Linked DNA regions of Tamandua tetradactyla. The protein of the gene in region 1 interacts with the protein of each later gene in a pairwise test. Links are inferred from orthologs where the notes say so. Each region holds a gene or a part of one and is shown in the gene's direction. Other genes may lie near its edges.

Region 1 (6,986 bases):
TGATTTGTCTAGTTTGAGTGTGTCCTGTGCAAGATTTGAGACATACATACTTATATATATAAAAAAATCTGTTTATATGAAATTCATTAAAGTGAGAGTTCTGTATACTTATTGGCTAAATCTGGCATCCCTTCTTGCAGGCCCCTCTGAGCTCCCCGCCTTTCGGTTCCGTATTGGCAGCAGCAAGAACGCAGAGCTGCTCCAGCCAGGGCTGGGGGTGTGTGGGGGAGGGGGACTTCCTGGGCCTCAGTTTCCCCATTTTCATAACTCAGCAGTGAGAATCTCTGCTGCACAGAGAGGGTGAACCGTGGGAGGTGTGTGGGTGACATGTGTTTTGGAACTAAGAAGCTGTTATGGAAACATGAGTTACCTGAATTCATTGTTATGGGCAACACAGACCCTTCGTGGCGGCTGGTTCTGGCAACCTGGTGCCTTCCTTTTTTGAAAATTAATTTTTTTTTTTTTTAAACACAAGCAATTTGTGTTTGTTCTGGAAACATTAGAAAATGGAGAGTAGCAAAAAGAGAACGAAAAAAAATTCCCCACCTGATTTCCATCATTCAGAGATGACTATTTATGGCATTCTGTCTGCTGGAAAAAGTTGGAAAACTTTTTTCTAAGCGTGTGCCTTTGTATATAATTTTTTCTTTTTTTTTTTTGACAAAAAATGGGCTCATAGTCTGCATTATTTTAGGTAACCTGTCATTTCTGAAGTTTCAGAATATACCCAGAGGAAAAGTCTCTTCCTTTCTGTCTGGTCTGTGCGATTGCAGAGGTATCGTGTGTGGTGAGTCCACTTCCCAGGTCCCACCCCCACCCCCTCCTCACCCCAGGCACAACACAGATAAAAAAATCTTCACCGGGAGGCAAGATGCTCACAGTTTGTCCTGTAACCCTGCGTGGCCTGCGTGACACCTTCCCAGAGTCCTATATGAGTTAATACACTAGATGCCCGATTCTTTTTTTTTATAAACTTCACAAAACATGAAATTGACCATTTTAAGGATACATTTTTTTTTTGTATATTCAGAATGTTGTGCAACCATCACCACTAATTCCAGAATATTTTCATCACCTCCCCATATATGCCCCCCAAATCCATACCCCTTAGCAGTCACTCTCATTCTCTTGCAATTCCATAAGATCAGGTTTTCCATTTCTGCAAAAAAGGAAATTGGACACTGATTCATCAGTGATATCAAATATATGCACCATGCTAATGCAAAATGTTAATAACAGGAAAAGTTGTGTCTGTGTATGTATGGGGGGAACTTTCTGCTGATTTCTCTGTAAACTTACAACTGTTCTAAAAAGAAAAAAGGCGGTTGGAGTTTTGATAACAGAACTGGATTGTATCTGTAGGTCAACTTGAGGGAGATTTGCCATATTGACAATATTAAGCTTCCAAATCCATGAACACAGGACGTCTTTCCATTTATTTAGAGCTTTAATTTCTTTAAACATTTTGTAGTTTTCAGAGTCTGGCTTTGCGTGCCTTGGGTTAAATTAAACCCAAGACTTTATTCTTATTGAGGCTATTGTAAATAGGATTGTTTTCTTAATTTCATTTTCAGATTGTTCATTGCTACTGTATAGAAGCACAAACTGATTTTTGTATATTGATCTTGCATCCTGCAACTTTGCTTAACTCATTCATTAGCTCTAATCATTGTGTGGATGTGAATTTCTTAGGGTTTTTTCTATATAAGGTCATGTCATGCAAACACAGTTTTACTGCTTCTTTTTAAATCCAGGTGCTTTTTATTTAATTTTATTGCCTAACTGCTCTGGCTAGAACTTCCACTACAATGTTGAATAGGAGTGGCAAGAGTGGGCATCCTTGCTTTGTTCCTGATCTTAGAGGGAAAGCTTTTAGAGTTTAAGTACAAAGTATGAAGTTAGCTGTGGGTTTTCATAGATGCCCTTTATCAGTTTGAGGAAGTTCCCTTCTATTCCTGGTTTTGTTGAGTGTTTTTATCATGAAAGTGTTGTGGATTTTGTCAAAGGCTTTTTCTGCATCTATCGACAAGATCGCATAGCTGTTTTTACTTTTATGTCCTGCTTGTAACCCTTGGGTTGTAAACTCAATCTCAGTGGTTTTGGGAGATTAAAAAGAGTCACACTCTGACAGTTCTCACCATAGATAATTGTGAGCTCCCAGCCATGTTAAGTGTTTAGGATAGATGAAAAGAGAAAGCCAGCTCCTGTTGTGGCTCAGCAGTTGGGGGTAGAAAAATGAATGAAGATGTGGTAGCATTCCGGAAGCAAAAAACGAAATTCAAGTTGGTGGTTGCTTTTCTCTCTGCAGAATTTAAAAAAAAAAAAAAGAAAGAAAGAAATCAGGCAACTCCCAAGAATTCTTAGAGGGCTTTTTCTTGAACATTTTATTAGGGCATATTTTGTAGGGCCTGTGTCTCACTTGCCCTGGTCTGTGATATTTTGGTTTAATTTCTGGATAATCCATCTTTTTGCCTGTCACGAGTGCACTCTGAGAATGGAGAAGGGCAGCGGTTGGGCATAATCTGGCTTCCTTTATAACTGTAAAATAATAAATGGGTGCCTTCACTTAAGAACATCTACTTGATGACTCCCCAGGTGTGGGAGATCTTTGCAATCCCCTTCCTCCAATTTAGTAATATTTTCTGGGCTGATGGTAGCTGGGTTGAAATGGTGAAAGGTGGGGGGAGCTTTGGGCTGGGACAGAGGGGACAGTTTAGACCCAGCCCTGGCACCAGTTTGCTGTGGGACAGTGGGCAAGTCATTTTTCCTTTCTGCATCTCAGTGTCTTTCATATCTCAAGATCAAGGTAGGTGACTGTACAAGCTGAGGGGTCTCCCAACCAGGTCTCTGCATCCACCATGGGGCTCAGTTGCTCCCCATGGCCAAGACTCCGTGTACCCTAAAAGCCAGTGCACTCATCAATGCCCTATAAGACTTCCCAGAGGGCCAGTGGGACCAGGGCTCCTGTCCCTCCCGCAGCAGGTAGATGGGGCAGGGGGCAGCCCTTTAGGGGCAAGGGGTCTAGTGGAGGTTTTGAGGAGTTATTGATTTACAGAGCTTTCCGTGAAGGACTGAAAGTTCTTCCCAGGGGCCAAGGGACACCTGGGTGGGGACAAAGCAATAAAACAGCAGATGGGTTTTCCTTAACCCTTACCCTGGGCCAAATCTGCATCATCTGGGTTAATTCTGTAAGTAGATCTTAAGCCCTAGATGCTGTGACGGTGCCCATTTCACAGACAGGAGGCCAAGGCCCCGAGAGGGTGAGCGGCTCGCCCAAGTCCCAGGCGGTGTTTTGGGCTGCGCGAACGCTTATGAACGGACTGAACTGAATTACGCGTGGAAGATGGCCGGCTCCGCGGGCAGGGCGGACGCCAGCCCCGGACATGGGGCCTCAGGCTGGCGGGAGCGGGGTCTGAAGGTGGGGAGGGAATGTGGGAGATGGGGGCTGGGGGGTTGGGATGGGAAAGCATCAGGGGAGGGTGGGGTGTCCCGGGCACGGGGCAGAGCTGGACTTGCAGGGGCAGAATCCGAGAGGGGAGGCGCGAGGATGCGGCCGGGGTGGGGGTGGGGGAGCGGGGGCTCCGAGGTCAGCGCGTGGGGTCGGGGGTGTACCCTGGGGGTGTTCCGAGGGCAGTGGGCGATCGGAGGGGAGGAGGGCTCGGGGTCGAATCCGAAGGATCGGTGGACTCCGAGCCCGCCGGAAGCAGGTGGGGAGTGGGCGACGGCCTGGGGTAGGGGGAAAGCGGCCCCCGCGTCTCCCGCAGCGCGCGGAGGCGGGAGAGGCAGGAAACTGAGACCCCGAGGCAGCCGCCGGGCCCCGCCCACCCCGTCGGTCCCGCCCCTCCGGCTCGCCCCGCCCACCCCGCCGGGTCCCGCCCTTCCAGCTCGCCCACCCCACCCCTCCCGCCGGGCCCCGCCCCTCCCGCCGGGCCGTCCTCGGCGCCGCGTCCCGCCCGCGCGGCCAGCTCAGACCTCCCGGCTCGACTCCGGCGCTGGCGGCGGTGAGTGAGGCGCGCGGGGCTGCGGGGGCGCGAGTGGGGGCCCCGCGTTCAGGCGGCTGCGAATTGTGGGGGGCTCTGGGGCGCTAGCACCTGCTTGGGACTCCGGCCCGGGAGCTCCAGGGCATCACTTCCTTTCGGGGCAGGGGATCCGTGCGCGCCGGGGGGCGGTGGGCGCCCGCGGTGACCCCTTCTCTCGGAGTGGGCAGCTTTTCAGGAAAGTCGCCGTTCTCAGTAGTGGCCGCGGGACTCAGAATTGAGATTCCCCAGGATCATCACCTGGGGATTCAAAAACAAACACAAACCAGAATTTCTGGACACCGGTTCCCTCGAACCTTGAGGGTTCCGGGCGTCGGTTCTTCACCGGTGTCCCCGGGGTTCCACGCAGGATCCAGGACCGCCATCCACGGGTGCTTCTGTGGACACGCGAGGGCCTGGGGAGCCCCCAGCTAGGTGAAAGCTGCGGGCACAGCCCCTGGAGCGCGGGGTTCAGCCTCTCGCGGGTGGCCTAGCTCAGCCCCGGGCTGGTGCCGCGTAGATGTCGTGGGAAAGGCCCGGCCCCCGGGAGTTGGTGTCAGTGGGTGGACATCGCCTGTCCCTAAGCCGAGCAAGTCCTGTCCACCCTCCGGTTTCCAGAGCTCCGCGGATCTGGGCGGTGGGGCGGGTATTCCCGCAGCTCGGGGCCAGGGCCGGGGAGAGAGGGGACGGGGAAGTGAATGTGCCGTGAAGGACTGTGCATTCCAGGGATCAGTCACTTGGACCGTCTCCGGTTCTCTTAGGGATTGTGCTTCCGGATGATGTCATTGGCTGTTGGACTGAGCTTTGGTTGTTGAGAAATTCAGTTTCTGGAAGGCACCGGGCCTCCCTTCCACCAGTCTTCCCAAAGGAAATTCCTCCCTTCGGCCTCAGTGAGCTGATGTTGGTTCAAGAGCTGCCTGGGACCCGGATTTGGATGCAACAGTTCCCCCTGGGTTCCTTTTCAGGAAACTCACGATTGGCACCTGTGTGCATAGCTGCCCCACCTGCCCTCCTACCTCGATCCCCAGCCTGCTCGATGGCTGTTTTAAAATCAGATTGACCCAGATGATGAGTACAGAGAGGTACAAGCTGATATCTGGGACATCAGCATGGTGTTTGGTTTTATCATAATTGGATCAGGATCCAGAGGGCGTGTGACTCACTCTTCCTGGCATAGAATAATTCCTGTGCTGCCCTCCTCTCAGCGAGCCTTTGCTCTGGGACCTGAATGTGCATCACACTCTTAAGTAACGTTTATGGTAGAGCCACTATGGGAGAGGCCGATCTTTCCTCTTCCCTGTTACTCTATGACATTAATAATAGATGCTTTTATTCACATTTGCAGAAAGTATCCTTGTTGAGTGTTTTTGTGGATTAATTGACTCAGTAATTGATCTAAAACGAAAACTCAATTTCTTAAGTCTCTAAAATACTAGATTGAAGTCATTTGCTGGCTTTGATGAGTAAATTTCCCTTTGTTCCTTCAGCCGCTCTTATGGGTTGACTGTGGGGAAATCTTGCACTGTATTTGCCCTGGAGAGGATGCAGAAGAAATGGCTCCTGGTCCTGAGGGGCTTATGCTGTGTGTGGAAAGTGGAAACACAGGCACAAGTGAAAAAGCTGGTGCTTGTGCTCACAAATGCTCTTGTAACTCTGGAGGGAGATTGAGAGGAGGGAAAAGGCTGCTCTGAGCACAGGGCCAGGTTAACGAGGGGGAGCTTCATGGAAAAGATGATCCTTCAGCAAAATCTGGCAGTGGGGATGTGGTGGGCAGCATTCTAGAGGGGCAGAAGAATCTCGGCACAGCTGCAGAGGAGGCACAGGCAAGCCCTGGGGCTGGGGTCAGTAAAAGGGGAACCAACTGAGGTGAAAGGAACTAGGAAGCATTTCCAGCTGAAATTAATCTTCCAGAAGATACTTGGCACCTGCTTTGCTTCCACTGCCATCCCTGCTGATTGATGGGTGGGTAATTTGGTGCCCATCCGAAGATGAATCTCCCCAGAGCTTACCGTGAGGGTGGAAAAGTGGGGATCCACAGCCCATACGAGGAAGTACTAGAGGCCTGTCACTCTGACTTGTCCTCTGTTTACTTTTGCTTTTACTGCTGTGAAAACAGCCCAGTGGGCGAGGCAGCTTGAGGTCGCCACCTATCGCCTGCTCTGTACAGGATTGGTGTTTCCTTTCCTTGGAATGGTTCTGTGGTGTCAGGTGGAACTTTCCCGGGTCCTCACAATCTCATCTCCTTGTTCGAGCTAGCGTTAACGCTCTGGACAGACGTGATAACACCTTTGTAGCTAACAGAGTTGTCCCTTGGCCACAGGTGTCTACCTCAGTGGGAAAAAAACTGTAATTTTACAGGGTTTAAGGGACTGACAGAAGAAAGGAAGTATCTATGGCAGGTGTCAGCGCTGTTGTGATTCCCCGCTCACCTCCTAGCAGGTAGGAAGTTACTACACCTGCATCCTAAGCCCAGAGCACTTTCTTTTTTGTCGGTCTTAACTTCAGAGAAAATAAGGGTGCAGAAGTTAAGCTATTCAGCTCACGGAGCTTTAGAATTGAGTGTTTCTTGAGACAGTCTAAAATTAAAAGTAAATTTGAGTGCTTAGCATTGACTTGGCTAGTGCAGTGAGGTTATTTGTTGATGATGTACTGCTATTTTTTTAATTAATTAAAAAAAATTTTTAAATACCAAAAAAACCACCAAATGCAAACATTCGTAACTTTTGATCATTCTGTTCTTCATATATAATCAGTAACTCACAATATCATCACATAGTTGCATATTCATCATCATGATCATTTCTTGGAACATTTGCATCTATTCAGAAAAAGAAATAAAAAGAAAACAGAAAAGAATTCGTACATACCATTACCCCCACCCCTCCCCCTCACCGATCACCAGCATTTCACTCTAAATATTTTAACATTTGTTCCCCCTATTATTCATCTTTATTCCATATGTTTTACTCG
Region 2 (7,638 bases), about 35 Mb from region 1:
ATACAGTTTGTCATCCAGTTAATAGCATTGTACCAACGTTAATTTCTTAGTGTTGATCATTTTTACCGTGGTTACATAAGATGTCAACATAAGGGGAGGCTGGGCGAAGGTTATAAAGAAACTCCTTGCATTATATTTGCAATTTTCTTTAGAAGTCTATATTATTTCATAAAAAGAAAGTTTTAAAAATATGGACAAAATATTGAGGTGTACACTCCAGCAAAGAGAATTTGGGATGTGAAATAAACATATGGAACGATGCCCAACATCATGAGTTATTAGGGAATTGCAAATATAAACACCAATGAATGACCATTGCACATTCACTAGACCGGTTAAAAATAAAAGACTGATCGTACCAAGTGCTGACAAGAATGTGGAGCAACTGGAATTCTCATACTGATGCTGGGAATGTGTAATGGCACAATCACTTTGGAAAACGGTTTGGAGATTTCTTAAAAAGTTAAAAACACACTTGCCATACAATCCAGACATTACCACCCTAGGCATTTACCCAAGAGAAATGAAAGCATATATACATACAAAATCTTATTCATAAATGTTCACAGCCACCTTTTAAATTGCTTTTAATTTTTCTTATTGAAGCTGAATTGACATAAAGTAAAATTAACCATTTTTAAATTAACAGTTCAGTGCATTTGATACCTTCACAAAGTTATGAAACCACCACCTCTATCTAGTTCCAAAACATTTTCATCACCCCAAAAGGAAAACCTGTACCCACTAAGCAGCTCCTTCCCATTCTCCCTTCCCTCTAGCCCCAAGCAACCACCAATTTGCATTCTGTCTCCATGGATTCACATATCCTGGTTATTTCATATAAATGAAATGATACAATACATGACCTTTTGTTTCTGCCTCCTTTAGCTTAGCATAATGTTTTCACGGTTCATCTGCATTGCAGCATGGAATCATAGCACCTGGAAACAACCTACATTTCCAACAGCAGGTGTGGCAGTTTGAAGCTGTTATGTACCCCAGAAAAAGTCATGTTCTTTTAATCCATTCTTGTGGGTGCAGACCTATGAAGGGAAGGTCCTTTTGATGAGGTTGTTTCAATTGAGATGTGACCCAGCCCATTCAAGGAGGCTCTTAATCCTTTACTGGAGTCCTTTATGAGGATGAAAGACAGAAAAACCAAGAGAAACTCAAAGAAACACCCAGGGAGAGCTTAGGGAGTAAAGCCTCAGAGGAGCTAAGAGAGGACCCACAGATGCTCGGAGAGAAAGCCACAGGAATCAGAGGCTGAAGGCAATGGAACCTGGCAATGAAGGACCAGCAGATTCCGGCCATGTGCCTTTCCATGTGACAGAGTGTCCCGGATGCTGGCAGCCTTTCTTCAGAGTCCACATATCATCCTGTGCACGCCTTCATTGGGACATGGACGTTTTCATGACCTAAGAACTGTAAATTGTTGAGTTAATAAATACCATTGTAAACACCAGTCCATTTCTGGTATATTGCATTCTAGCAGCTTTAGCAAACCCAAATAGCAGGCTAGTGGATAAACAATTGTAGATTATCCATACAATGAACACTACTCAGCAGTAAAAAGGTACAAATATTGATACGTGCAACAACATACATGAATTCCAAAATAATTACTCGGAGTAAAAATGCCAAACAAAAAAGAGGATGTATTGTATACTTCCATTAATAGAAAATTCTAGAAAATGCAAACTAATCTACAGCTATAGAAAGCAGATCAGTAGTTCCCTAGGCACAGGAACAAATTATAAAGGGGCACGAGGAAATTCAGCAGGTGATGGATGATTATTATCTTGGTTGTGGTGATGGTTTTACAAATGTATATATATATATATGTCAAAACTCACCAAATTGTACACTTTAAATATATGCAGTTTAAATAACGTCAATTATATCTCAATAAAAGCTATTAAAAATGTGTATCTGGGCTCCAGGAACCCGGAGGAATAGTGTGATCAGTGTATATCTTCTCATACTAGATGCTACACCATATCCAAACTAGGTGTGGGGTGGGAACTTTTTCACCAGTTATGGAGAGGTACATGATAGGACACGTCCCACTGTGGGTTTTGGGCACTCCCCAGAGATTACGATTTCATGTCCAGAAACAAGTGATTCTTAAGTCCCTAGGTGAGAAGGTAAGAGCTGACTGAAGCTAGCAAAGTCCTATAGTTTATGGCCTGGGAAGGGGGTTCCCTTTAGCCCTTGGTAAAGGGTTTCGCTGCTGCAGCAGTTGGGCACGCCTTACATTTACTTTTCTCTGAATTTCACAGAGGAAGATAACTCCCTTGAGTCTTTCTCTACCCCGTGCCTCCAAACCACAAATTTCCTGAATTCCTACTCTGATTTATTCTAATAAAAACTAGGCTGATCCTTTAATCCCTGTTTAAAGGGCCCATGTTTGTTGAAGCCATAAAGTCTGAGCAAAAGGTCATAAATCATTCCTTACCCTGATCTAGAGCACAAGGCAGGTAGGAGACTAGACAAGCCATGGGCAGCCAGAGGTAATATTATTACAAAGCTCGTCTGTTTCTTTGGTTGTTTTCCCTTCTGGACATCTCCTGTGAACCTCCTGTGCTGGAACTCTCCACCTGCCCCTCCAGACCCCCCTCTCCACTCTTTCCCACCCCACTCTGTGCCTAGAAGGAGGGGAGTGGCAAGGCTGACTGCCTCGTCCTTGCCCTCTCTCTGGCTTTCTGTTGGATTTGGCCAATGGGAAGAAATAGTAGAAAATCCAAGGACAGAAAGAAACTGGGACACTCATTCCCCAGCTCCCTGCAGACCAAGCTGTTTTTCCTTAATTGCTGTGTTTTTCTACCTAAGATTCAGGTGTCTCCTCTCACCATGAGGACTCTCAGCTGGCTCAGGTAGAGCTCCCTCCCCTGGTCTCTCCAAGTCTAGAGGTGACAACAGCTCCTCAGTGTTCTAGCCTCTCAATGCTTCACCATCAAACTTTCTCCTTTTGAGTGAGTGTGTAATCCTTTCCTTCCAGAACTCTGACTGATACACCCTCACATCTACCAAACCCCACCCCCATCTATTGTCTGCATCCCCTAACAATGCACAGTTAGCTGAGACATCATCTTTGAGTCCCCTGTTACTCCCTTCCCCTCCTGGCCTTGTTTCCCCTCTGTTTCTCCTGTCCCCCCTACCTCGCCCCTTCTATTTCCACCCAGTTGGCCACTTTGATTTTGTTTTGTCCATACTGAAGTCATCTCTTCCTCAGCCAGCTTCCCCACTGTACCCTGGACTCAATGCCATCTCCCTGGCCTCATGGCAATCCGTTCCCACCACACTGCCACTACAGACATTCTGGAATCACGGCTTCCTTCCCCTGTCATCCCCTTTGTCCACACCTTATTCACCTAACCTCCCACGGGACAAAGCTTTCTGTTGTCCATTCTAGTTTAGGACCTCATTGTCTCTCAACTGCTGCTGGACTCCTTCCACTTGACACCCCCCACCCCCACCCCGTGTCCTCAGAGGCCAGCAAACCTTGAGGGACTCCCTAGTACCCGCAAACGCCCACACCTTCTCTGAGTGTGTGAATTGTTACCAAACGTTGTTTTAAACACTTGAAAAAAAATACACCGACTGTTTAATGCTTACCGGGGGCATTCTTTGAGTTACAAAGAATATCTTCAAAAACATCAAAATTAGAATTTCATGGAAAACGTCTAACTTTCTCAGCATCTCCGCGAAGGAGCCCACTTCTCTCCTGCTGTGGCTACCTTGGCTGACGCCTCTGGGGAGGAGAGAGGGGTGGCGCCGAGCCGTGGATTAAACGGAAAGTTTCCACCCACAAGTGAGTTCTGGTTCGGGTCCAAATGATGAGAGGTTAGGGAAGAAGGGGCCGGGAGGTCCCCACTGACCCAGCCCGGCGCTCCCGGACCTCGAGTCTGCGATCAGGACAGAGGGCACCGCAGGGATGCAGGGTCAGGATGGAGGAAGAAGCCAAAGGGACGGACTGGGAGCTGGGTGGGGGCCTGGACCGAAGCTGACCCTTCCCGGGGGGGGGGGGGGCTGTCCTTCCAGGCCCGAAAGGAGTAAACAGGCTATTCCCAGCCGGGCCCGGACTCCCCGGGGAAGGCCCGAGTCCCCAGCCGGCGTGACCCCCAGACCCCCACTTCAGGATCTTGGTTCTTCTAAGTGCCTCCAGGGGCGCTTTCCGGAGGGAAACTGCGCTCGGGACCCGGAGGGAAAGGGCGGGGAGGGGGAGGGGAGGGGAAAGCGGGCGGTGCGCGGCGGGGAGGGGCGTGCGAGGGCGGGTCGGGGTAGCCCCTAGGCCCCGCCCCTTCGGCCGCCCCGCCCCTGCCAGGCGCGGCGAGACCGCGGTGATGGACAGGCCTGTGGACCGGTCACAGCGCGCGCCTCGCGATCGGGCGCCGCCCAGCGGACCCAGCCGACCCAGCGAGCCGAGGGGCTCCGGAGCAGGCTGGGCGGGCGGGGAAGCCTCCCGGCGAGGGGCGGGGCCTCGGGGGAGAGGAGCAGCGCTCCCAGCCAATGGGAGGCGGGAGCCGTCCCGTTAGCGCCGGATCCCGGTGGGTAGGGCGGGGCAGGCAGCCCCGCGGGGATCCCCGGGCGGCCGACGGCCCCTGACTCTGCTCCGCGCGGCGACATGGACCGGATGGCCAGCTCCATGAAACAGGTGCCTAACCCGCTGCCCAAGGTGTTGAGCCGGCGCGGGGTCGGCGCGGGGCTCGAGGCGGCCGAGCGGGAGAGCTTCGAGCGGACTCAGGTGAGGACCTGGGCGCCCCGGGACAGAACCGGGGCACCCCGAGAGACTGTGTCCGGGAGGGGGCTTTGAAGAGATTAGGGGTCTTGTGGGCCCAGGAGAGGACGGGGCCAGGGGTCCGCGAGGGGGCCGGCGTCTGGTTCGCAGATCCAGGCGATCGGAGGAAGGTGGGGGTGCCCCGGGGCATCCCGGCTGCCCGGGGGCGGGAAGGGTGGGAGGGGAAGGGACGGACTCCGCGAAACGGGGCTCACCGGTGGGGGAGGGGGGGAGGCGGGGGCAAAGCGAAGTGGACCCGGCCGGTAAAGCGGCGGGTTCCCGAGGGGAGGTGAGAGCGGCAGGAGCCGAAAAGGGGCCCTAGGAGAGGGCATGGTGGACGCATTGGATGTTATTTGGGGTGCATTGGGGGTGGGGAGGTGAAAGGAAGGGAGCCCTCTCCTCCCGTCTGGATCCGCCGCTTCTCGGTTGCACTGCCATGTCCCTAAACCTCTAGCACCCCTCCAACCTCTTGGCACCCGTTCCTCCGCGCCCCTTGCCTGGTCCTCACCGCCCCCAGCTGTCGGCCTTCCGAGGTCGGGGCCCAGGGGTAAGAGCGGTGAGAAGGAATGTAGGAAATGCGGAGCGTGGCCCAGCTTGGAAAATGACTCGGGGTTGGAGGAGGGGACCCGGCAGGGGGCAGAGATGGGGGCGCTTGGCGTGCCCCGGGCCGCTCTCTGCTGCTTGGGATGAGCTGCCCGGCCGTGTCCCGAGCCCTGACTTGGGGTTTTGTTTCAGGGCTCTTAAGATGCGCCTGGCAGCTAGCAGGCAGATGCCCTATTTGTCCAGCCCGACCAGGGCTTGGGGCCAAAAATTCCTCAGTGTCATCAACAAAAAGCCACAATCCATTTTTCCATCGGAGTTTTTAAATGCCTGATGTATCGATTTGACTGAAGAAAGCCGGCAAGTGTATGCTGCTGATCAGTTCATTTGTATGTAAAAATCCATTTACAAGGGTGCAGCACTTCTTTCAATCCCAGTGCCAGGCTTTTATTTGCAGATTTGTTCCCCGTGCTTGCGCTTAGAGTGGAGCGTTTGAAGATCCAGTTGGGTGCCCGCTGCCCCCCTCTGGGCTCGCCAGCACAGGCGGTTGTTTTCCTCCAAACACAGTAGAAAGTTAGGGAAAGGGTGTTGGGGTTTAAGAAAAGAGGATGGACCTGATTGAAGCATTATCTCTGTGGAATTTTGTAAAGAATAAAGCTTTTTTCACCCCGGGGCTTTCTCTTCTCATTCTAGCAGCCTGTAGCCCCACCCGGGTGGGGTGTGTCTGGGTGCTGTGAAATGGGAAGGCTCATCTCCCCTGGGGCCATCCTACCCCAGAGGGGGAGAGAGAGAGAGGTGTCCTTTCCCTTCTGCCCTCCGCAAACCCTGCTGGGTTTGAGGCAGGTTCTCTGGCTGTGGGGTCTGGACCCCTGGAAAGCAGCACGTTTTCTGTGCCTGACCCGGCAGCATCTTGGGCTTCTCTGCCTGAGCTAGTTGCCTGGTTACATGACGCTTCTTGCTGCAGGAAACCGCTGTAGATTGTCCTTTTTTTTTTTTTAAAGAAAAGCGAAAAATAAACAGGGGCTACTTCGTAACAACCCATTCCTGCTATAGATTCAGATAAGTAAAAAACTGGAGCAATACAGAAATATGCACAGGACTTTGACCCGCTCCAGTGGTGGAAAGTAGGTTTGTGAAAGTTTCCATCCGTGACTGGCATGTCCTCTGGCTGTCCAGGGACAGCCCGACATGGAAAGTCTAGGTCAGTGTTTTCCAGTATTTTACATTCTGCAGAACAATTGCACTTGTCCAGATTTGACTTAATGCTGTGCTTGTGTGTGTGTGTGTGTGTGTGTGTGTGTGTGTGTAGGTGGACTGGAGGAAGAAAAGAAACTTTTCTATTGTTGAAACTATTTAGGGGAGTAGGAAAATGAAGACAGAAAAAAAAGAATGTTCCTAAAACCCAGCATTAATCAATCTGCAAAAAGATCATTTTGTTAAATGGCTACCTAGTAAATGTATACGATATAAAATTGAGTTACAAAATTTTTTTTAACGAGTTAGAGACCATGAGAATCAGCTAAGGTAATAATTATAACTTAGTTATTGTGTTTAGCACTTTTCTAAGTACTTTGCTGTATTACTGTACTTAATCTTGACAAAAACCTATGCGGTGGATATCAGTCACATATTACCACCGAGGAAACTGAGGCACAGAAGAGGTCAAGTCACATGCTACAGCTGGAAGTAGTCCCTACCTTTAACCTGTGAGTTTCCACCTGGGCAGATGAGTTGGCCACGTGGCCTTTGGCAAGCTGCCTCCCCTTTCTAAGCCTCAGTTTCCTAATTGTCCCGACAACACTTAACCTTGCAGATTTATTGTGGGAATTGAATTAAATTAAATGCGAGAAGGCATTTTGTGAACTGGAGCGTGCTATTCAAATGTAGCATAATATTGTTACAGTCCCAGGGGTAAGGAGACCTTAGAAAGCAGAAATTTAAGTGTTGGCCAAGGCCAGCTGAGCTCTTCAGGGGAGGAGCGGAAGTGTTTGTTACTACGTGATAGGGCTGAGAGTGCGGATAGAGTACAGGCTGGGGGACTGGGGAATGGTCGGGAGCACGAGGAGAACAGGGGGCTTTTCGGTAATGGGGACACTTCTGGAGGCAGAAAAACACGCAGGGTGGAGCCCTGGGCTGAGATGGAGAGAGGGGCAAAATCAGTCTCTTCCCCCTCTGAACTCCACAGTACATTTTGTACCCTCACCTGGCGCTTGCTAATACCTTGCCCCGAAATCTTTCTCTCTGCGTGGCCCACAGTCAACTGGGAGCTTCTTGAGGGCAGGCCTGGGTCCTGCTCTTGCCTGTGTCCTGAGGCTGTG
Region 3 (7,507 bases), on another chromosome or scaffold:
CCCAACCTTTCACTTTCAACCTATATTTATCTTTGGGTCTAAGATGTGTTTCCTGTAGACAGCATATAGAAGGATCCTGTCTTTTAATCCATGTCTTTTGATTGGGGAATTCAGTCCATTAACATTTAGAGTTATTACTGTTTGGATAATATTTTCCTCTACCATTTTGCCTTTTGTATTATATATATCATATCTGACTTTCCTTCTTTCTACACTTTTCTCCATGCCTCTCTCTTCTGTCTTTTTGTATCTGACTCTAGTGCTTCCTTTAGTATTTCTTGCAGAGCTCGTCTCTTGGTCACAAATTCTCTTAGTGACTTTTTGTCTGAGAATGTTTTAATTTCTCCCTCATTTTTGAAGGACAATTTTGCTGGATATAGGAGTCTTGGCTGGCAGTTTTTCTCTTTTAGTAACTTAAATATATCATCCCACTGTCTTCTAGCTTCCATGGTTTCTGCTGAGAAATCTACACATAGTCTTATTGGGTTTCCCTTGTATGTGATGGATTGCTTCTCTCTCGCTGCTTTCAAGATCCTCTCTTTCTCTTTGACCTCTGACATTCTAACTAGTAAGTGTCTTGGGGAACGCCTATTTGTGTCTAATCTCTTTGGGGTGCGCTGCACTTCTTGGATCTGTAATTTTAGGTCTTTCATAAGAGTTGGGAAATTTTCAGTGATAATTTCTTCCATTAGTTTTTCTCCTCCTTTTCCCTTCTCTTCTCCTTCTGGGACACCCACTACACGTATATTTGTACGGTTCACATTGTCTTTGAATTCCCTGATACCTTGTTCAAATTTTTCCATTCTTTTCCCTATAGTTTCTGTTTCTTTTTGGAATTCAGATGTTTCATCCTCCAAATCACTAATTCTATCTTCTGTCTCTTTAAATCTGTCATTGTAGGTATCCATTGTTTTTTCCATCTTTTCTACTTTATGTTTCACTTCCATAAGTTTTGTGATTTGTTTTTTCAGTTTTTCTATTTCTTCTTTATGTTCAGCCCATGTCTTCTTCATGTCCTCCCTCAATTTATTGATTTCGTTTTTGAAGAGGTTTTCCATTTCTGTTCGTATATTCAGCATTAGTTGTTTCAGCTCCTGTATCTCATTTGAACTATTGGTTTGTTTGTTTGACTGGGCCATATGTTCAATTTTCTGAGCGTGATCCGTTATCTTCTGCTGGCGTCTGGGCATTTAGTCAGATTTCCCTGGGTGTTCGACCCCACAGGTTGAAAGATTTTTCTGTGCAATCTCTGGGTTCTGTTTTTCTTATCCTGCCCAGTAGGTGGCGCTCGTGGCACACGTTTGTCTACGGGTTACAGCAGTGAAAGTTGCTGTGGGTCCTTTAACTCTGGAAAATTCTCGCCGTAGGGGAGGTTCGGCAGCCGAAGCGTCTTGGAAGAGTGCCAGCCGGCCTGGGGTTCCGAATGCGGGGAGGGTCGCCGGCCACCGCAGCACGGGAGAGCGTCTGGCCGAATTAGCTAGTCGGCCCGGGGCGCCAAGCGTGGCGGGAGGGCGCCAGCTGTCGCAGCCCGGGAGAGTGCACTGTTCCCAGCCGGACGGGGGAGTCACGTGTTTGGAAGGGATCCCCCGGTCACTGTTCACAGCAGCCTGGGGATTTCCGACCCAACTCTCTGTTGGTCCGGGGGGCCTCGTGTGGTGGGGGCACCAGCCGCCGCGGCCTAAGGGGACCGCCTGTCCAATTCTACCAGCTGGCCTGGGAAGGTGGAAGGGAGGGACTCCGGTCGCTTGCCGTCCCACCCAGGAAAGCCCGTGCCCCTTGGTGATCTCACCGGAGCTGGTTCTCCCAGATAGTCAGCCGTTCCAGGATGGGGTACGCTGTCCCTTTGATCTCCCTCGTGGCTCCGGGAGCTGCTCTGTATTATCTCCACTCCCCCAGTAGCTGTTCTGGAGGAGGAAAGGTGAGGGTGGCAAAGCTGTCGAGGCTGGTGGTGGAGGAGCTGGTGAAGGTGGAAGAGGGGAGAGGAGGGCAGGCGGGTCTGCTGCTGCGGGGCGTGGGCACCACGCGGCGGGCCGGCGGACAAAAGAGGGGAGAGGAGGGCGGGCGGGTCCGCTGCTGCCGGGCGTGGGCGCCGCGCGGTCCTTTTACTTTTCTGTAGCTCATTTTTTAAAAAACCTGGTTAACAATTAAATTCTCTGTTCAATTTAGTGTTGTTTCTGTCTTCTGGCTGGATCCTGACTAATAAAGACCCTAATCATGTTGATATTCCAAAGAAGAAACATCAATGTGACTATATCTCAATAAAATTGCAAAAGAAAAAGAACAGATACAGTGAGGAATCTCTGGCAAGCCCCAGTGGTACAGAGAAGGGCAAAAAACCCGTAAGGATCAGATGAATTTACTAATGTGGACTTAGTGTCCACAGCTTGCTCTGAAAGACAACAATGAGAGGAAATCCTCAGACGTACATTTGGTCATCAGCTTGGTATAGGTATGTGGGGAAGGTGGCCCGAGGGAAGGAAATCATCAATTTGAAGTGTAAACCCAAATTAATAAAGAAAACTTTAAAGAGGCTGGATTTATCTGAAATTGGTAAGATTATTTTGCATTTGTCATCAGGGAGACAGAGACTCAAAAAAGATGGTATTATAGAAAGATGAAAATGCATCTCTTTGCACACCAGAATTTGTGGGTTAAAACCAACATATTAGATTCATTCATTAGATGAAGTAACTTCATTAGATGAAGTAACAATGAACAATATTTGTTTTTTCTTGTTTTTAACATAGGGTCTAGCTCCTAGTGACTATTCAAAATTTGTCGTTTGAATGAACTCATCAAGAACTGAGTACATACATCTAAAGGTAAACACCTATAGATTTTTGGGTGTACTTGCTATTATGGAGCAGGAGGAGCTAAAGAAGTCACTTTAAAATGTGAATGCTTTCCAAAGGCTAATCCTCAACCTCTGCTCTTAGCTCAATACAACTCTCTGACAAAATCTCCTCTCAGGGTTTTCAAGTGCTGCAATAACCTCCTAAATTGTTCCGTCTGGGTCTGTTTCTTTATATCCATCATGAACACTGATGTCAAATTAATATTCCAGAAACTGTTTTATTATACTACTCTGCTTCTCAAAATCCTTAATGTGCTAAAATTGAAATTTCTTAGTTTGCTCTTTAAGGCTCTTCTCTGTTTCCTCCTACCTTTATCTACCCGTTTTCTTTTCCAATACTGAGCCTTAACTCTAGACAAACCCACCCAGAAAGGCTCCAAATATCTTGTACCTCCTAGGTTCAGTGGCTTTTGAAAACCAGCCCCTTCATCTGCAGATATTCCCTTCTCATTTCTACACCTATCTTTAAAATAAAAAAATGCCGCTATCTTTCTGAATTATTACATGTGTAAGGCTTCTCTCTTCTATAATACCATCTCTATACCTAGAGGTTGTAAAACGATTTTATTTGTTCCACTGTTTAAAATGTTGAAATAGTTCTACTAGAAGTGCTAATATTATGGGCCCATATTTCAACAAACGGCTGAAGCTTACTAACAGTTGCAGTCTTTAGGTATAAGCGCTGTTCAGTTTGATAGTACAAAAGCATTCATTGAGCACCTATTGTCACTTTTAAACGCTATGGATACAGCATAAATAAAACTGATCATGGTGTTTATATTTTAACCAGGAAAGACAGACAAATAAATGATATATTACGAAGAGTTAAATACCATGGGAAAAAATTAAACAGGGTTGAGAGGAAAGGACAATGTGTGTTTGGGAAAGATTCTTGCACTTACACATCCATTTTTAAACTGGCTGGCTGCTATGGGAATCTGAGTTTGTGACTCCTACTGTATATCAGGATCTTCCCTATGCTGTCATGTATGAATAACTGCTCCTATAAAACCGTCAGCAATTCTTGAAGGCAGGGACTGGGCTTCATTCGTTCTTGTATTCCAAGAACCGAGCAATGTTTTCATGGCGAGAACACTATGGAAGGCGAAATTAGGACGTCTTACAGATATAGTTTCTTGTACTACTGTTTTCCGGGTGTCTTTTTTTTTTTTTCTACTGCCGGGGTCAAGTGCAAAAGAGGATACAACACCGAAAGCGCCCGGGAGCTGAGCCAGGCCATTCCCAGACTGTCAAAGCCACCTGTGTGTCGGCGGCTCCGTTTCCAAGGCAACAACACTGTGACAGAAACGTAGTTGCGGGCCCACGACTGCAAGGGACTGGTTCAGGAACTAACCTGACACAGAAATAGGAACGCGGCGTCTAAGCCGGTTGCCCTGAGCAGAAAACCCAGGATTGCCCGGACTCTGCCGAATTGCCACCGATTCAATAGCTTCCGGGCCTCCGGCGTTGCCCGGTTCTAGGCGCGACAACTTCCGGCGCCGAAGGTCCCCGCTCCGTGGCTCGGCGGGGTCCTAACGATGGAAAGGTGGCCAGGGCGGCCGCCTGAACCATGAGGGAAGCTGGGAACACGGCTGCCACGTTGTCCCGGCGCGCGGCGGCGAAAGGGCCACCGGGAGGATGTCCGCGGCTGGAAAGACTTTGACCCGGGAGGCTACCTCGCGGCTGGCCGCGGGGCGGAGCGTGGACCGGGAGTCTGCCCGTCAGGCGGGAGCCGGGCAGGTGCGGTGGCGCAAATGCTAGGACTGTGGCCCGAGCTCAGCGGGTAGGAAGCCGCGGCCCGGGGTCACCAAGCAGGGATTAGTTGCGGAGCCTCAGCCAGACTCCAGCGACTAGGGCTCGGGTGCTGGCGACATGCCTCTTTTCACCGCTAACCCTTTCGAGCAGGACGTTGGTGAGTGGCGCCGGGCTGTCTGTCCAACTAGAAAGTGGGAGGCGGCGGGTTTAAGGATTAGGAAGTCTAGCTGAAGGAGAGAAGGGGCGGTGCCGCCGCCTGGGCGCCCGTGTTTTTTAGGGGGTATCCTGCGCGCGTCGCCAGCGGTTTAGAGGATGTCTCCTACTTTTCTGAGGTCGAGGACCCAAAGACTATCGTTCGCCACGCCAAGCTCCGGAATCGGAGGAGCGTGGGGGCTCGCTGGAGGCTGGACTAATTAAGCTATTGCGGAGTTGGTGATAGAAACTTCCTGCTCTCCCTCTCCTGGCTATTGAGCCCCGCCGCCCTCCTTTTAGGGCGATGATGCTGTAGTGGGGACCCTACTGTCTAGGGCAACCCTAGAGACCTTGATTCACCCCGTTATGTAGGGAAAATTCATCTAACGTTGCTTATATACAAATACATCCAGTTCCTGATGGTGCAGCCTCAGGATTTGTTTACAGTTGGAGGTGTTACTCTTGAATCTCAAATGGCGCAGGTGTTACGAGATGTTTTCTGTCTCAAGAGTATGAAAAGGAAAGTGCCAACCCGAGGATCTCAAAACAGTTCAAAACAGCTAATATTTACTTGTTGGGTCGTAAGAGTATTTGCCTCTCAGTGACAGTGGAATGAGAAAAGGAAGGATGAAACGTAGAGACTTATTTTGAGCTTTGGAATAACAGTAAAACAAACTAAGAAAACATTTCGTAGCAATAGTTAACTCTAGGTAGAGTTTTAGGCCTTGGTGGAATAAAAAGCATAGCTGAAAATTGCCTTAGTCTCGCAGGCAGCAGCAAGCCACCTGTTTCATAGTTACATTTTTCTAATTATGAGAAGACTCTAGAAAGTTCCTTCTTTTGATATATTATGTGAAGCTATAGGTGTATTCAAAAGTCATATATGTGAGAGTCAAATAAGACGAATGTTATAAGCCTCTTCTATTCCTAGAGAGCTGAAATATTTATATCTTGACCCTCAGATAGTATTCAGGTGGGCATGTTCCTTATTTCATTAAACTTTTTTCTTGATAATGGAACACAGTGCCTGACATAAATCTGGGAAACAGCATGTTGAAGTGCACTGTTTCTGCTTTTGGAATACCTAATGGTTTCTTTGTTGCAACTGTTTTACCTTTGTGAGAATTGTACTTTTTGTTTTTTCCTTAGTTTTTTTTTGAGTTGTACTTTTCAATGAGAAAGACTTTTATTTTGTTCCAATGAAATAAAATAGAAAGGGTGAAATAGAATAAGTAAAATGATCTTAAAATGTAAAAATGGTGGAATTATTTCTTCAAGGGAAATCCTTCCCAGAAGCCCAATGTTTTTGTGATTGAAAACTTCCCTGGTCTAAGTAGGCTGAGGAACTCTGCCTGTTTGCTCTCTAAATCTTACCTTCTGTGGTTCCTGAGGCCCTCCACATGGTTTAGTGGAATATAGTTTAGTAAAAGAGGCACTGTTGTTGGGACCAAAAACTCTGCGGTATATAAATTTTTTTCACAGGAGTGCCATCAGCAGAAGCCTCAAGTGCTTAATTGTTAGCTCAAGTATGACTGAATGAAAGAACATGTTTGATTGAGGCCCACCTGTAACTTTTAGTCAAGTGCAGGGAGTTAATAACAAAAGTGGAATGATATACTAAAGATTTCAGATTAGCCTTTAAACCTGTATCATAACAGAAGAATTCTATTTTACATTTTTCAGATCTTAAAAGCGCCTTTTAATTTGAAATAATACAAAGCAAGTCATTATTTATGACTTGAGATGTCTACAGGAGTGTTCCCTCACAGTCTTTGTTATTGTCTTTTTCACCTGCTCTGTTTCTTCTTGCTGTACATTTGTTCACTGCTCATTCAACAAACATGCACCAAAAGATACTCTGTCAAGCATCGTGTTAAGTTCTGGGGACAGGAAGTTGAATAAATAGATTGAGAGTTTCTGCCCTCAAAGAACTTAATCTAATAGAGGACACATATGAAAAGAACATTAAAAAACCCATGCCTAGCTGGTCTCTTGGTCACAAATTCTCTCAGTGATTTTTTGTCTGAAAATGTTTTAATTTCTCCCTCATTTTTGAAGGACAATTTTTCTGGATATAGAATTCTTGGTTGGCATTAAGCAGATAGCACCTTGTTCAAGATGTAGCGGAGAGGCTGGAGGGAACTGCCTGAAAATGTAGAGCTGTGTTCCAGTAGCCATGTTTCTTGATGATGATTGAACAATGATATAGCTTTCACAGTGAGACTCTGTGAATGTGAAAACCTTGTGTCTGATGCTCCTTTTAGCTACTATATCAACAGAAGAGTAGAACATATGGAATAAAAATAAATAATAGGGGGAACAAATGTTAAAATAAATTTAGTTTGAAATGCTAGTGGTAAATGAAAGCGAGGGCTAAGGAGTATGGTATGTATAATCTTTTTTTTTCTCTTATTTTATTTCTTTTTCTGTTGTCTTTTTATTTCTTTTTCTAAATCGATGCAAATGTTCTAAGAAATGATGAATATGCAACTAGGTAATGATATTAAGAATTACTGATTGTATATGTAGAATAGATATCTTAATGTTTTGCATGTTAATTTTTTTAATTAATAAAAAAGTTAAAAAAAACCATGCCTATAATATGTATATGTAGTAAATGTAGTAAATACAGTGCTATTCAATAATATGTAATATGTAGTAAATATAGTGCTATCAGAAGTCCTCCTTGCAGACAAGACAGTGACT

The links.
Region 2: the proteins of LITAF (region 1) and HIP1 interact in binary tests that used the Homo sapiens proteins (3 or more experiments, as listed by UniProt). The link is inferred for Tamandua tetradactyla from reciprocal best matches to the Homo sapiens genes LITAF and HIP1.
Region 3: the proteins of LITAF (region 1) and STAM2 interact in a two-hybrid assay, tested with the Homo sapiens proteins (4 studies listed by BioGRID and IntAct). The two-hybrid records come from large-scale screens. The link is inferred for Tamandua tetradactyla from reciprocal best matches to the Homo sapiens genes LITAF and STAM2.

Annotation. Positions count from the first base shown.
Region 1 is NC_135349.1:45,797,795-45,804,780, forward strand, and holds the start of LITAF (lipopolysaccharide-induced tumor necrosis factor-alpha factor), read left to right. Parts: upstream 1-3,919; 5' UTR 3,920-4,001; intron 4,002-4,091; exon of another isoform or gene 4,092-5,338; intron 5,339-6,986.
Region 2 is NC_135349.1:10,852,784-10,860,421, forward strand, and holds the start of HIP1 (huntingtin-interacting protein 1), read left to right. Parts: upstream 1-4,567; 5' UTR 4,568-4,627; coding exon 4,628-4,747; intron 4,748-7,638. UniProt on the Homo sapiens protein: Plays a role in clathrin-mediated endocytosis and trafficking. Involved in regulating AMPA receptor trafficking in the central nervous system in an NMDA-dependent manner. Regulates presynaptic nerve terminal activity.
Region 3 is NC_135329.1:122,449,195-122,456,701, reverse strand, and holds the start of STAM2 (signal transducing adapter molecule 2), read left to right. Parts: upstream 1-4,413; 5' UTR 4,414-4,726; coding exon 4,727-4,766; intron 4,767-7,507.